Linked DNA regions of Oryzias latipes. The protein of the gene in region 1 interacts with the protein of each later gene in a biochemical or structural test. Links are inferred from orthologs where the notes say so. Each region holds a gene or a part of one and is shown in the gene's direction. Other genes may lie near its edges.

The links.
Region 2: the proteins of mlxip (region 1) and mlx form a complex in vitro, tested with the Homo sapiens proteins (2 studies listed by BioGRID, with this or other methods). The link is inferred for Oryzias latipes from reciprocal best matches to the Homo sapiens genes MLXIP and MLX.

The regions. Positions count from the first base shown.
Region 1 is NC_019867.2:12,064,194-12,071,664, forward strand, and holds the start of mlxip (MLX-interacting protein), read left to right. Parts: upstream 1-3,557; 5' UTR 3,558-3,831; coding exon 3,832-4,139; intron 4,140-6,471; coding exon 6,472-6,578; intron 6,579-7,471. Other genes in the region: wdr66 (cilia- and flagella-associated protein 251), read left to right, coding at 848-991, 1,061-1,289, 1,386-1,457, 1,546-1,670. UniProt on the Homo sapiens protein: Binds DNA as a heterodimer with MLX and activates transcription. Binds to the canonical E box sequence 5'-CACGTG-3'. Plays a role in transcriptional activation of glycolytic target genes. Involved in glucose-responsive gene regulation.
Region 2 is NC_019866.2:6,753,821-6,761,112, reverse strand, and holds mlx (max-like protein X), read left to right. Parts: upstream 1-2,470; 5' UTR 2,471-2,573; coding exon 2,574-2,609; intron 2,610-2,659; exon of another isoform or gene 2,660-2,964; coding exon of another isoform or gene 2,965-2,970; intron 2,971-3,466; coding exon 3,467-3,503; intron 3,504-3,633; coding exon 3,634-3,723; intron 3,724-4,067; coding exon 4,068-4,177; intron 4,178-4,259; coding exon 4,260-4,362; intron 4,363-4,651; coding exon 4,652-4,751; intron 4,752-5,075; coding exon 5,076-5,277; intron 5,278-5,959; coding exon 5,960-6,016; 3' UTR 6,017-6,936; downstream 6,937-7,292. Other genes in the region: fmnl1 (formin-like protein 1), read right to left, coding at 1,159-1,335. UniProt on the Homo sapiens protein: Transcription regulator. Forms a sequence-specific DNA-binding protein complex with MAD1, MAD4, MNT, WBSCR14 and MLXIP which recognizes the core sequence 5'-CACGTG-3'. The TCFL4-MAD1, TCFL4-MAD4, TCFL4-WBSCR14 complexes are transcriptional repressors.

The DNA.
Region 1 (7,471 bases):
TGTCAAGGTCCTTGGATATTCATATGTGTTGAACAGACACTGCTCATGTTTAGATTATTTTTATTTATCACAATATTTTGAAGTTTTAGCTTTTATTGTAATTACAGTTAAGAGTAATTCCATTTTTAAGGGACTTCAATGGCACAAGTCACCACGTCTAACTTTTTAAAAACAAAACAACAGATTTTCCCTGTCAGAAATGCACATAAAAAATATCAGTGTAGAAACAGATGTTATGACTCAAGATCCTCATAAGGAGCATCTTTTAAAATCTCCAGTCATCTCCTTAGTTTTCTTTTTTGTCGGCCGATCATTTTCTTTCCTAACAAAAAGTAGTCCATCACTTCCAAGAGCAATTTAGTGTCTTCTCTGTCACTGGTACACTCTATAACAAAATCATCAAGCTATTCTGAGAGATGATGAGACTTTAAATTGCACAGGAATTATGAGTTGTAGAAAATGAAAAATTTGGAAAGAGTTCAGTCATCTCAGCTGATCCTGTCCCAACCATTTTCTCAGGCATATCACCCTTTCCTTCAATAAGTAATCAATCCAGTTGCAAAGACCTCCTCCATGTGCATTTTCGGGAACTACTTTACAGCAGTGAAAGCTGAATAGTGTTGAAAAAATTCAGAACATCCCAAACAGTACCATGATCTTCTTTGAGTCACAAGCCTCTACCGACTGCAACGACTGGAAACATTTTTTTTTTTATGTAGAGAAATATTTATGTTTATTTTAAAGGGAAATCCTCATATTTATACATGCAACACAATAAATATCAGAAAAGCCCCATATGAATGTCAGAAGTGATGATTAAATGTATAAAATGTGTTTGTTTCCTAAGGATATGGAGGATTTTTTCTACTACTGTCAAATCCGTCACTATGGCTCCAGCTTGATGAGGAAACAGCCAAAGCCAACAGAAATTCCTCTGTCAGAGGTTCCCTCCTTAATGAGAGCTGTGGGCTACTTTCCTACTGAACAAGAGGTATGTCATAGAAAACATCAGCAAATTTTATCCTTCAAAACGAAACGGTATGTTGTTTTTTTTCACCAGATAGAAGACATGCAGAACGAGATCAAGTTCAGCAGGTTTGCTGAAACTGGAAAGTATGTAACAGACATTGACTTACAGGAGTTTATCAAGTTGTACGTCAACCACCGGCCAGCCTTTGGCGCCCCTAGCAATGAACTTGTTCAAGCTTTTCACGTTCTTGCTAAGAGCAACAGTACAGGACAACCTGTTCTGCAGAGACAGGAGCTGCTAGAACTTTTACAGGCTCGAGGTACGTTTAAATCAGAAAAAAATGTTCTAATGTATTTCTGCTGTCTTTATAACTTGCATGATGCATGTCTTATACAATTTTTTTTCTTACTGATAGGGGAACAGATGACCATGAACGAGGTGGAGGAGTGTTTTACCACACTTTTAGGCCTCAAAAAAGAAGAAATTTGTAGGCATAAAAATTATGACTTCAATTTAAAAAATAAAACAAATAGAAATACCTGAAAGAGTAAACAATCTTTAATTTTCTCTTGCAGGTGAAGAACATTTACTGGAGAGAGAATTACCAGAGGAGATTTCAATGGAGATATTTACAGATCACATCTTGGGCTTTCCTCAATCAAACAGGAATGAAGGAAGCAGATCTCCTCCACCACAGTGATTAATAAGACAAGAAGTCACAGCGGGCTGCATACACGTTATCATTTTGACTTTACTTTTGTTCCTTTGTGGGTTTTTTTTTTAAACAGGTTCCAACAACTATCATTGTTATAGTTCATGTTTGGAGTGCCAGCACAAGTTTAAAGGTGGTGATTTCAGTGGTTGAAGTCAATCAGGAAACCGTACACACAGTTTTTAGAAAATGTTAGGGGGCACATATTAATGAATTTATGTCAGGAATCTATTGAAATTTGAATATAGAGGCATTTGACCAATGTCTGGACTTTGGACATGCCTGTTGAAAACATTTCTACCACAAAGGGCTCTGTAAAAATAAACCAACCACTGACAAGGAAGACAAAGGTAAAACAGAATACACAGCTGATAGTCCTACTGAATAGACTGTTAGAATTAGTATTATGGCAAGAAAAAAGCAGCAAAGTACAGAAAAACTAGTGTCCATCATTACTTTAAGAAATGAAGATTAGTCAGTCCAAAAAATTAGGAAAACTTTGAAAGTATCCCCAAGTGCAGTCACTAAAACCATCAAGCGCCACAAAGAAACTGTCTCACATGCGGACCGCCCCAGGAAAGGAAGACCAAGACTCACCTCTGCTGCAGAGGATGAGTTCATCCGAGTCACCAGCCTCAGAAATGGCAGGTTAACAGCAGCTCAGATTAGAGAGCAGGTCAATGGCACACAGAGTTCTAGCAGCAGACACATCTCTACAACAACTGTTAAAAGGAGACTGTGTGAATCAGGCCTTCATTGTAGAATGTCTGCTAGGAAACCACTGCTAAAGAAAGGCAACAAGCAGAAGAGACTTGTTTGGGCTAAAGAACAAGGAATGGACATTAGACCAGTGGAAATCTGTGCTTTGGTCTGATGAGTCCAAATTAGAGATTTTTGGTTCCAACCACTGTGTCTATGCGATGCAGGTGAAGGGATGGACTCTACATGCCTGGTCCCACCAAGAAGCATGGAGGAGGAGGTGTGATGGTGTGGGGGTGCTTTGCTGGAGACACTGTTAGGGATTTATTCTAAATTGAAGGCATACTGAACCAGCATGTCTACCACAGCATCTTGCAGCGGCATGCTATTCCACCTGGTTTGCGTTTAGTTGGACCATCATTTATTTTTTAACAGGACAATGACCCCAAACACATCTCCAGGCTGTTTAAGGGCTATTTGACCAAGAAGGAGAGTGATGGGGGGCTGTGCCAGATGACCTGGCCTTCACAGTCACCTGAACCCAATCGAGATGGTTTGGGATGAGCTAGACCGCAGAGTGAAGCCAAAAGGGCCAACAAGTGCTAAGCATCTCTGAGAATCCTTCAAGACTGGTGGAAGACCATTTCAGGGGACTACCTCTTGAAGCTCATCAAGAGAATGCCAAGAGTGTGCAAAGCAGCAATCAAAGCAAAAGGTGGCTACTTTGAAGAACCTAGAATATTACATATTTTCAGTTGTTTCACACTTTTTTTGTTATGTATATATTCCACATGTGTAATTCATAGTTTTGATGCCTTCGGTGTGAATGTACAATTTTCATAGTCATGAAAATAAAGAAAACTCTTTGAATGAGAAGGTGTGTCCAAACTTAGCATTGCGTGCTTTAAAGCTCACTGACGTGCTAACTGAAATTTATATTCTTAGACTATCAAATTAAAAAATCCACCCTTAGCCAAGCCGCCATAAAAAGAAGAAAAACAGGCGGCAAATTAGAGTGAATGAACTCCGTTAAACTACGTTTGAAGGGTCATCAGTGCAGAATAATCACGGGTATGCCTTCAAAACAGTTGAAGAACAACCTGTCGCTTCGTTTTATTTTTGGCCCTCCGAGGGTGGGTGGAGCTCTGACGTTGACCAATCAGAGACGGTTTAAAACAGGAACTTCCTGCTCTGGGCAGAGGAGCAGTTCTTTGTCAGCTGGTCTTTTAGACTAGTAATTTCGTCGGCTGTCTTAAAAGATAAGTTAACTTGGAACGCTCATGACCAATGAGAATACTAAACATGGGTGAAGTGATGTTTCTGGTTCCATAAGTTGAGACGGACATACGTGGACAGTTAAGATGAAAGGAAGAGTTTTATTTTCTTAGCCTGCTAGCTTAATGCTAGTTATTTGTCTGGGGAATTGTCGACATTCATTGCAACCAGGGAGATGTCTCTACGGCAGACTTACCGCCGCGCGACCGCTAGCATAAAGCAGGAGCAGGATGACGACTCGGATACGGAGGACTCTCACCTGGAGCTTCTCAAAGTGGAAGGGCTGGAATCTCAAATCATCCACAGCGGACACTTCATGGTGTCTTGGCCCCACAGCGAGCACCCTCCGAAGAAAGGCTACGACTTTGACACTGTCAACAAGCAGACCTGTCAGACGTATCACTTCGGCAAGACGAGCACGTCGCACCTCTCCATAGACGCGTCCCTCACTAAACTCTTCGAGTGCATGACCCTTGCTTATAGGTAAATCACAACACACATTGCCTGCTGCGCATTGACGCAGACAATTTCACTTTTCCTTTCAGTGCCGGGCTTGCTTTGGTCCAGCTGATGGGCTCGGAAAAGCACCATCAAGTCTTCTATCTTCCAACTGTAGAGAGGTTTAAAAAGTTCTTACAAATAGGCGAAACAAACATTTATAATTGTGTCTTCACACGCATAAGATCCAACATAATAAATATGTGGATAATTTTCTTTAAAGCTGGTTTTATTTATTTAAAAAGGTTATTTAGAATGTCAGAACCAGAAGCCTTTATTGTCATTTATTATACATAATACAATGAAATTTTAGCAGCCTTGGATTGGTGATACTATAAATTTAAATCAAAATATGTACAGGTAACCAATAAAAAATACAAGTATAAAAAAAATGGAATAAAATAGAGTTCAGTAAAGTGCAGCATAAACATGGATAATTTTGAAGCATGTAAGATCTTCTTAGTTTTATTAAAAGTTTGACATTGAATCAGTTTAAATACCCTTTAAGATGCAAACTGCTTTTTGTCACCGGACAAATTTAATTTTTGAATAGAAAAAACAAATTATATTTAATTTAATGTCAGATAAAAGCAAGCTCAATCAGTAATTTAGACAAAATCAAAGTTCCTTTTAAACTGGTTTGTTAAGTCATAGGTATATATTGCATTAACTTATCAGAGAGCATTGTTTTTATTTATATGTCTGCCTAAAACTTCAGACTTTTGGGTTTTTAAGGAATTTCTTAAAATAATTCATTAAGCGACAAGAAACATATTAGTTTCTTTATACAATAGAACTACACAGTCATTAGGACACTTGTGCTGTGCCCAGACAAGTTTTCAGCAGAGCCTCTGTTCTAACTAACCATACAGTCACTGGAGCTGAATAAACACCGGCAGACGTAATCCTGCATTTATTACATTGGGCACTTTAGCGGTGGAGCTGTGGATTATGTCAACAAATACAATTCAGTGTCATTTCTTATAGTTTTTTTTTTTTTTTTTTGTAAAAATGGACATTTTCAACCTTCTGTTATTCATGTAACATAAAAGCTTAAAACACTTGCCTTTAAATAAATAGCCTCAGAGACAACAGTGATGTAGATACTAATGGACAAAATAAAAACCCTTGCTAAAAATACAATTACAAAGTTGATGTTTGAGCATCTCATCCCCATCTTTCAAACCGCAGCCTCCCTGCAAAGCAGAATCAGTTTCATCACTTGTATTTATGATCCTAACCACTTGCCGTACTCTCAACCCAAAGCTTAGGCCTGATTGTCTGAACTCTCTCTTCACTTCATCCAAACTTTCCCTGGTCTTTCATCAATAGTTTCAGTAGTTTTATTTTCTTGACTTAGACTATTGAAGCAACAAAAGGATGCAGCCGATGATTTCTCCCCAAACATAGCGGGAAAAAGACTGCTTCCAGCTGCACTGAAGTATTTTCAGTTTTCTAGGGGAAGCTCTTACCCGTTTTCTTAACCCTTGTGCTATCTTATCTGACCCCACCCTTACTTTGACGTGTTCTCCCTACCATGACAAAGGTGGATAAAGGTGGAAAGATTTCATGTAATCCATGGACACCAGTGAAGATCACAAATCATTGAAGAAAAAAGGTTCAGAGCACTGTCTAGTGGGTCTAGATGACCCAACTCCCAACATTAAAGTGCCTAGGATAGTACAAGGGTTACAGTGTTTGAAGTAGTGCATCTTTAAAAGTACATATTCTAAAAGCTCTACGTCTCTGTAAAGATGTAACTCTCGTATGAATTTTAAAAGTGCATGTACAAAGTTCATGGTATCCATGCTTTTTACAGCTGTGCTGTTAGCGGCGTCATGACAAGCTGCTCTGAGGATTCCCTCAGACTCTGCAGCAAGTTTGGCTTTCTAGAAGAACTATTAATAGAACAGTTGCTGTTATGCTGCTGTCATTCATCCTATAAAAAGTTACATGTATTTATGCAAGGATGAAATGCATGCTTCCTTACAACTTTTTCATCTAAAATGTTTTGGCCAATTAACAGCTTTTCCGTCTTTGCATCGTCAAACATTAAAGGTACTCAAATTTTGTTGATTTAAAAAAAATCAAACTGAAACAAACTTGACAAGGACATATTGTATTGAATACAGAGCAGAAAGGATGAAGAGAGGGGAAATGTTGTGAGCTGTTTTTGTGATGAGCTTTGTCCTTCATTTGTATAGACTAACGGTCAGTCCACAGTATATTCTGCTTATTCCAATTTTAGCTTCTCAGTTACATACACAAGCTTTTTTTAAATTACATTTAACAACTTTCTCTTGTTTATTTATTTTAGTGGCAAACTGGTGTCTCCTAAATGGAAGAACTTTAAAGGTCTAAAGCTGTTATGGAGAGACAAGATTCGCCTCAACAATGCCATATGGAGAGCCTGGTATATGCAGTGTAAGAGGGCACCTTTTGTCTTTTCATTTGTCATATCTAGAATATGTGTATGCTGATGTCAGGAGCTAGATTTTATTTTTTAATTTTTTTTAGATAATCGCAGAGAAAATTCTACTTAGGTGTATGAAATCCTCATTACTAGTTTGTAAACTGTAACATTTCAAGATTCAAAGACCCACTTCAAGGAAAATCATGTTTTCAACATGCTCGTGTAGCATTTTTCTCATGATGGAGGCCGTGTCTAAAGAAAATTAAGCTAAAAATTGCATGTATGAGTATTTCTTCATTCGAGGGAGCAGAAGAAAAAATGCAGCTGGAAAAAGCTTGAAGCTGTGACGTAGGTGCTACAGTTGGTGAGTGACGAGCTCCCTGCTCCGCTCCATTCCGATGCCTCCACTTGCAGACGCATAGATCCGTGTACCGGTACGACTTTATTTTCCTGGTCTGAGCTGGTCTCTGGATCATAACTGTACAGCTGCATAGCTCTAATGTTGCTCACCCTTTTTGTTGCTCCAGTAACGTTAGGTTGGGCTTATGGGGGGCTGTAAGCTAGCGGGAGAGTGTAAACACATGGATGAAATGCTAATGGGTTTTTCCAGTGCCAAATGTCCCGCCCGTGACTTGGAGGAGAATTTCTAATGAACTCCTGCCGTTCTTCAGAAACTATGTTCTAGACGCAGACAACGTTTATTTTGGCTAAAAACGACAATCCTCATTAATCCTCATCACTGGGAGCACTGTTAAAATGGATCAAAAGACGATTGGAGTGGGACTTTAACTCTTTATGTTTAAAATCTGCTTGTTACAGCATGTAAAACAAAGTATTTAAAACCCTATGTATAGATTGATATAAATATTTGTGCATTCTTAAACCCATCAGGTTGTGTTGGTTC
Region 2 (7,292 bases), on another chromosome or scaffold:
TGTCATAAATAAAAGAGTAAAAATGTGAATTTTAAATATTAAACCATGTTTATATGCATCAAGCGTTAAAAATAAAAATACTAAAAACCGACTTTAGTCTAGAATCTGATGGATTCTTGGATTTTAGATATACAGAAAAAAAAAGTAAAGGATAATGTTAAATATAAAAATAAAAGAAAACGTGATAAATATACTATTTATCTTTTCACGATATCGTTTTGAAAATACTCAAAATTTGTGCTCAGCCTGTGCTTCGTTGTGTGTTGCATCAGCACTTGTATTTAGAAACTGTGGGGATCTGTTGCTGAAGTTTTGAAAGTGGGTTTTTCCCCCTTTTTGTTAAAAAATATTTAAGAGTCTATGGTTGCATAATTTGCTTCATTTCTGTCAAAGTTGTGTTGTTTATGGCAGGAGTGGCAGGTGTGTATTGCTCAGCAAACTTTTCAGCCACACAGCGTGACACAAAACTGTTGGTGAAGTAAATGCAGTGTGCGGTCTGGGGTTTTCGTACAGAAAAAGGTTCAACCCTCACAGAGGAGATCTTAACATGATAGTAGCTTAAAGTGTTTACAAAGAAAACAAATTATAGAGCAAATATCTTTTATAAAAAACCTTAGATAAATTGGATTTTAAATTGTCTTGGTTTTGGTGTTTTTGAACACAAATGGCGGGCGATCTTGGGGTTTTGTTGTTGAACTTTTCGACTTGCATGGGTGTTGATCGGGTGGTGAAACACTCGCTTTCCGGTCCTGTGCTTTTTTCATGTAAACGTATTGCTCAACTTCCCCCTTATGACCAGCTGCCCATGCGTGTTCTGATCACCCTTTACGTACCGTGTGTCGGTTTCAAGTATATTAAAAAAGTTAAATGTTTACTCAAATCCATTTTTATAAATGTACAAACTCTCAGGTTGTAGGTCAGTTTTAGAGTTTAAACACTGAGAATAAACATAAAATTATTAAGATTTCAAACAATAACAAGCATCTTGGCAGGTGCAGAAATGCTGTACACAACCCAACACACAAGACTAAACATTAAAAGGTTATATTAGATCAAACTTCTTATTTATGTGATTCCAAATAACCTTCCTAACAACAGGTTTCTTGGACTGTAGTGTCTCTGCATTTGGTGAAAGTGTGAGTAACAAGAACCACTCACCAGGACCACATTGAAGCGTTCTTCCAGCTCCTCCTCCGGAGGCATGGGAAGTTTTGGGGGAGCCGACTGTTTCTTCTGCAAGACAAGTGCGGGATCACTCATTGCCGAAACCGAGATCCTGGCGTCCCGGCCGTCAGCAGGTTCTTGCTCCAAGCCCCCTGCCGCCGCATTCCCCATCACTAATCTCCAAAAGTAATCCAGGAGGAAAGCTTTACACAAACCCTTTCTCCGAGGAAAATTGGTGTATTCCAGAGCAGAGTGACAAAAAGTTGGTCACTCTAAATGACAAAAACAGGAAGGTCTAAGATGAATCAAGTCCTGTGCCTTTAAGGTGAAGAACATTTATTCTAAATTGCGTCCTGTCTTCAAGACAGGATAAGTGATGAAAAAAACGAGGGTTGTCTTCATGTTTGTCCGCTCAGAAACTTGTCTGTCTACATGAGCCAACAAGAACAAGACAATAGCCTTGTTAGGCCTGCGTGCTCTAAGAAAAGACGTACCCAACTCTCATGAACTATTTCTACACAGGTTGAAAACTTCTCTGAATAAGGCAGAGACGCCTCTGTATGAGAGGAAGGAGAGGGGAGTGTGAAACACAGACAGAAACCACAGAAGCAGAAAAGCAGAAGAGTAACTTCCTGTGTATGAGTGCAGCAGAACCTGAGGTGGAGGACAGGGTGGAAGATAAACTGCATCCGTTATTCGGATCACAAATATAAAAAGGTACATAACAAATAAACAACACATAGCAAAAGAAAAGAACTACATTGCTCATGGTAACCAGAAATAAAGACACAATTACAACATGCAAATGTACAAAATTAAACCAACAATAGAATTGTCTGCAGCTTATTAATCATTTAAAGCTAAATCTATAAACTGGAGCTGTTTATTCCACTCTAGCTTGAGACAGGTTTGTTTTGGAGGTCGCACGGGTCAAACAGCTAAAGTTGAATACTGGTTTTAAAACTGAGAAACAGCGACCTCCTGCGTTTAAAGATTATCACTGCATATAGCCGTGCAACATTTGAGATCAGTATGAAATTTTCGTTATGAATGATACTAACATTCACATTGTTGTGTATATAAATAGTTAAAGGAATAAATAAATATATGTGACAAATACTTGAAGTTTGAACAATAGGTGCCTACATTTTTACCAAAAATTACGTCAGTTACATATTACATCAAAAGGTAAAACATTTAAAAGTATCTTCTTACTAATTAATCACAGAAACAAAAAAACTACTTGTATACAAAACACATACATATATAAAGTATTTATATTTATAGTTAAAGTATTATTTAAATGTTGATGGTTTGAAATATGAACGCATCTCATTCCTAACAAAGCAGTTTAATTTACGAGTGACACGTGAATGCGACACCACTATTAGTTTTTTCAGCCTTCCAAAATGACGGATCCTACATCCCCAGAGGAACACTGGAAAGTAAGTCACTCTTATGAACCAGATTTTAACTTATCACAAACTTTACTTTTTTAAATAATTACTTGGTCTGTGTTGTTGGGGGCGGCAGTTATAACTGACTCGGCTGTCAAAACGCGGAAGTAAAGTGGAAACGGTGCTTTGATAATAGCCTCGCGGCTAACTAGCTTAGTGACGTTAAGCAACATTGAAGTGCTTAGCAAAGCAAGCTAGCTAAGTAAACAAAGCTACCGGAAAACTCGGGTTAATTCAGTTTTTAAAAAGTCTTCATGCACATGAAAAAAATACACTTGGGTCAGCAAAACCGTAGATATCTAAACAAAAGAACGGAGAGAGAGTCGGTTTCATTGTGTGTACAATGACGGTAGGAAAATGAAAATTTGGTTTCTGTCAAGATTTCATAACGAAGAAGTACTAGTAGTCTGCCTTTACATTTAAGCTAATGCATGTAGTTTGTTTTGTCAGGTTTGGTACCAGTGCCACTAAGTAAAATTTTAAGAGATATTTTTGATGTTAAAAAACCTTTGAATCTTGACTTTACAGTAGATTAATTGTATTTTTTTATATGTCAGCTTAACTTTGATGCTGAAAGTACCATTCAAGAGGGAGCCACTAGAAAATCACTAATTGTGAAGTTTACCTGTTCTTTTGTTGTTGTCCTAAATTTTAACTAAATTGCGATCGAACGAGTTGTGTTCTCCCTGCTTGAATGTGTTAAACCAGGACAATCCTCAGTGGGTGTTCTGGTCTTTGTAATCAAAGTATTTAGAACAGCACACTTTCTTTTCTTTTTTTGGTCTATAATGGTAAACCCACCGCTTTTTGTCCATTTCTCCTGCTTCTTTATGATGGCTGCGCAGACAGATGGTGCTTTCAGCGATGGTGGCTTTGACCAAAGTGAGTAGTTTTTGGGTTTTGTTTTTAAATCAAATCCTGCCTGTGAGAAAACAACTTTTTCGGATTGGTTTTCTTTTTGTTTATGTCTTATTTTTGTCATATTTCTAAACATTTATGCTTATATTTGCAGGTTTCTATATTGAAACAGCCAGAAAAGGAAGTGTGGTGTCCAGAGCAAACAGCATCGGGTCAACAAGTGCCTCTTCAGTACCAAATACTGGTAGCTTTAGAGTCTTTTAAATCGACATCCAGTCTGTTTTGATATCAATCAAAAGTTTTACTCTGTCATCATAAATGAAAATAATAGGAAATTACTTTATTGTTTTTCTTTTCAATCCACAATTGTGCTATCTACCCTTTTCTGGAAGACTAAATTCTTTGGTTAAAAGTATTTAATATACTTTTTCTTGGTGAGAAATGTTTATAAAAACATGCTAACATCCCAATAGAACCATGAGGCCACTTTGAGATTTGACTCTTGTATTTATTGAAATGCTTTTTATAATTTGATCGACAGCACAAAAACAGAGTCGGGTCACAATAGTTTAATTTATTCCAAAATAGATGATGAGGACAGCGACTACAGACACGAGACGTCGCTTAAAGACTCGTATAAAGACAGAAGGAGACAAGCGCACACACAAGCTGAGCAAAAGCGCAGAGATGCCATCAAGGTGAGACCGCAGAAGAATCGCGTCACTGTCTTTAAAATTCCAGATATCTGATCTCGTATATATTTCTTTACTTTTATTTCAGAAAGGTTATGATGATCTTCAGTCAATTGTTCCAACCTGTCAACAGCAGTCTGAGTTTGCCGTAGGAGCACAGAAGATCAGCAAAGCTACAATCCTGCAGAAAAGTAAGATTTACTCAAAACCTATTGAAATAGTGGGATGATAACATTTGTTCTTTTACATTTGTAAAAGTATTTATTCTTTTTATATTTGAAACACCTGTAATGCTAAAAGTGAGGTTATTTTCAGACAGTCAGGTAAATGTGAGATGGTAGTTTCCACTAAACACATTTAAAAACTGATAACACGATCTAGTTTCAGTTACCTTTATGGTCACAAAATAGATGCAAAAACCATAAAAAGCAGTATGAAGAAACTAACTGACAATGCTCTGATTCTTTTTTTTTTTTTTAGCTATTGACTACATTCATTTTCTTCATAAAGAAAAGAAGAAGCAAGAGGAGGAAGTCTCTGTCCTGAGGAAAGAAGTTATGGCACTTAAGATAATGAAAACGTGAGAGCAGCTTATAATGACATACCACCTTTTCCTACTTAAGTCTTCCTCATAGTTTGTCAACACTCTGCCTTTATTTGGATTAAAAATATAGTTGTTGTTTTTTTTGCATTAAGAGATTTTGATTTTTTTTAAGTTCTTGCCCCTTTTCTAATGTAAAGTTTTGTTGAAAAAAACATCATTTTTGTATCATAGTTTGTTTTTTCTTCTTCTCCAGGACCTTTTTAGCTTCAATAATCTAATAGAAACTGAAGTAAACTGTTAAATTCATAACTGCTGTCAACCTTTAGTGGTATAAATACTGTCTGTTTTGTTTTTTTGAAGGAACTATGAGCACATAGTAAAGGCTCATCAGAGCAATCCACAACAGGGAGAGGATCAGGTGTCTGACCAGGTCAAGTTTGACATCTTTCAGAGCATCATGGACTCCCTGTTTGTGTCCTTCAGCAACTCCGTCTCAGTCAGCAGCTTCGAAGAACTGTCTGCTTGTGTTTTTAGCTGGATTGAAGAGCACTGCAAACCACAGGTACCAAATATTGCTTTTTTAGCGTTTGTGCTTAGAAAACTACGACAGAGTATTGGGGCCACCATCAAAACAAACAAATAAAGACATTTACGAGCATAAAGTGGTAAAATGAAGAGAAAAGTCATAAAATCACAAGTAAAAGAGTCAAATTGTTATTTAAAAAATAGATATATTAAGTTTACAAGATTGTAGTCATAAATTTATGAGGCTAAAGTCTGTTACCAAGAAAAATATAAGCAAAAAGCAACAAAATCTTGTTTCAGAGACGTAGAGCACATTTACTTCAGCAAATAAGGAAGTCTTTTAGTGATTCAACATCGTTTTATTAGAACTAGAAGGACATTGTGCAGGAAACTGGGCCTCTTCAAAGATTCTTGACCCATAAGGTGTAGATTTCTAGCGGGCGAACCGTTGACGCCGTCGACAGTAAAGCTGCATTATAGCACATGGATTCCTATGTTCAACTAAAACCTTATGGCATCGGCATAAGTGATTGATGGATTTAGTCAGAAGCTTACACAATCAGCCTGTATTTTAGAAAAAGCAACTATTTTCTTCCTAATTCACCAACTTTATTCTCGTAAATGTTTTATGGTGGCCCTAATACTGCGTCGTAGAAAACAGACAAAACTAATGAGTCTTTATTCAGACTTTCCTATTTCTTTCTTCTTTTTTTTTGTAGACGTTGCGGGAGTTTGTTGTTGGCGTCCTGCGGCAGATTAATGTTCAGCTTTACTGATCAAAGAGACTTTAACTCCCCAAAACAGACTCTCAAGATGACTAAAAAAAACGTTTTCAGCGAGGCTGTGCTGCAGTTATTCCCACTCTAGCTCCTCCGGGACTCCAGGGCTGCCGGAGGATTCCCCCTTCAAGAAGCCTCGTGGAGGTTGGAGCGGAGATGACCAGGTGTGTTTGACCGAGCGGCGAAAGAAAGTAGTTTCTGAGCTTTTCATAAGCTGAAATGCAGCATTTGTTTTTAGAGGAAATGTCCGCGTTGATCCCAACATGCTGCCAAATATTGTAGCAAGCAGCTAGTTGTGTCTTCATGCCCCCAGCTTTGTTTTTTTAATGGTCCACACCAAACTGTTTAACGGTGGTTTCTGCTGCACGTGGAGGACTATTGCATGTGGAGAATGCGCATGTTACGCCTGAGTTTGAGGCTCGGAGCACAGAATCACTCCGGAGTTGTGAAAGTGTTTGACTACTTTGTCATCGCAGGCTTTTATGTGCGCTTTTAGTGCACGCCATGGGACACTTCCCCATGATTTCCTTTAAAAAAATACTTTAATGTGAAATAATTCACATTTTAAATGTAGTTTTGACAAACCAATGAAAAAAAACCTTCATTATAGTGAATTGAATTGGGACAAAACAGATAAAAATGCCCCACAATTCATCACCGAGGGATTTTTCAGCCTTATTTCTGAGCAGATCAGAATGTGTTTTATACAACCCATTTGGGTTATAATTGCCTTCTTTTCATTATTCCGTTTGCAGACGTTTCATTAAAATCATTTCGTAAGTTCCCGGTTTTAAGTGTTTTTTTTCCCCCCCACAAAAAATAAGAAATTTTAATCAATTTTGTTTCAGATATTTTTAAGTTAAAATCTGTGGCCACTTCAGTTATATTGTATAATCACAAAGCAATAAAGCAACTTTACAAAAAGTCTGATTACATTTGTGTTGGTGGGATATTTGAATATGTCTGCATTTTATTAAAATATCCGTTTGTCTTGTTGAATTGTGCTTTCTATGGCCAGTAAATTGACACTTCCAAATGGATGAAATGGAGAGAAAAAGGCATAAAATGCTATAGCAGCAGTTTGTAACAAAGCTTTTGAAAACTTAAATCTCGGGTTCAGGCATTAAAACGTCGTCCTAAGCATGACGTCGGCTCAGCTGAGGGTTCATTTTTCCCAGTTTGGTCTATACCTAAAAGCGAAGAATACCATGTTCTCCCTTTTAGAACCAAATGACTTAAACTTTCTGGACATTCAAACCTTTTTTAATTTGCC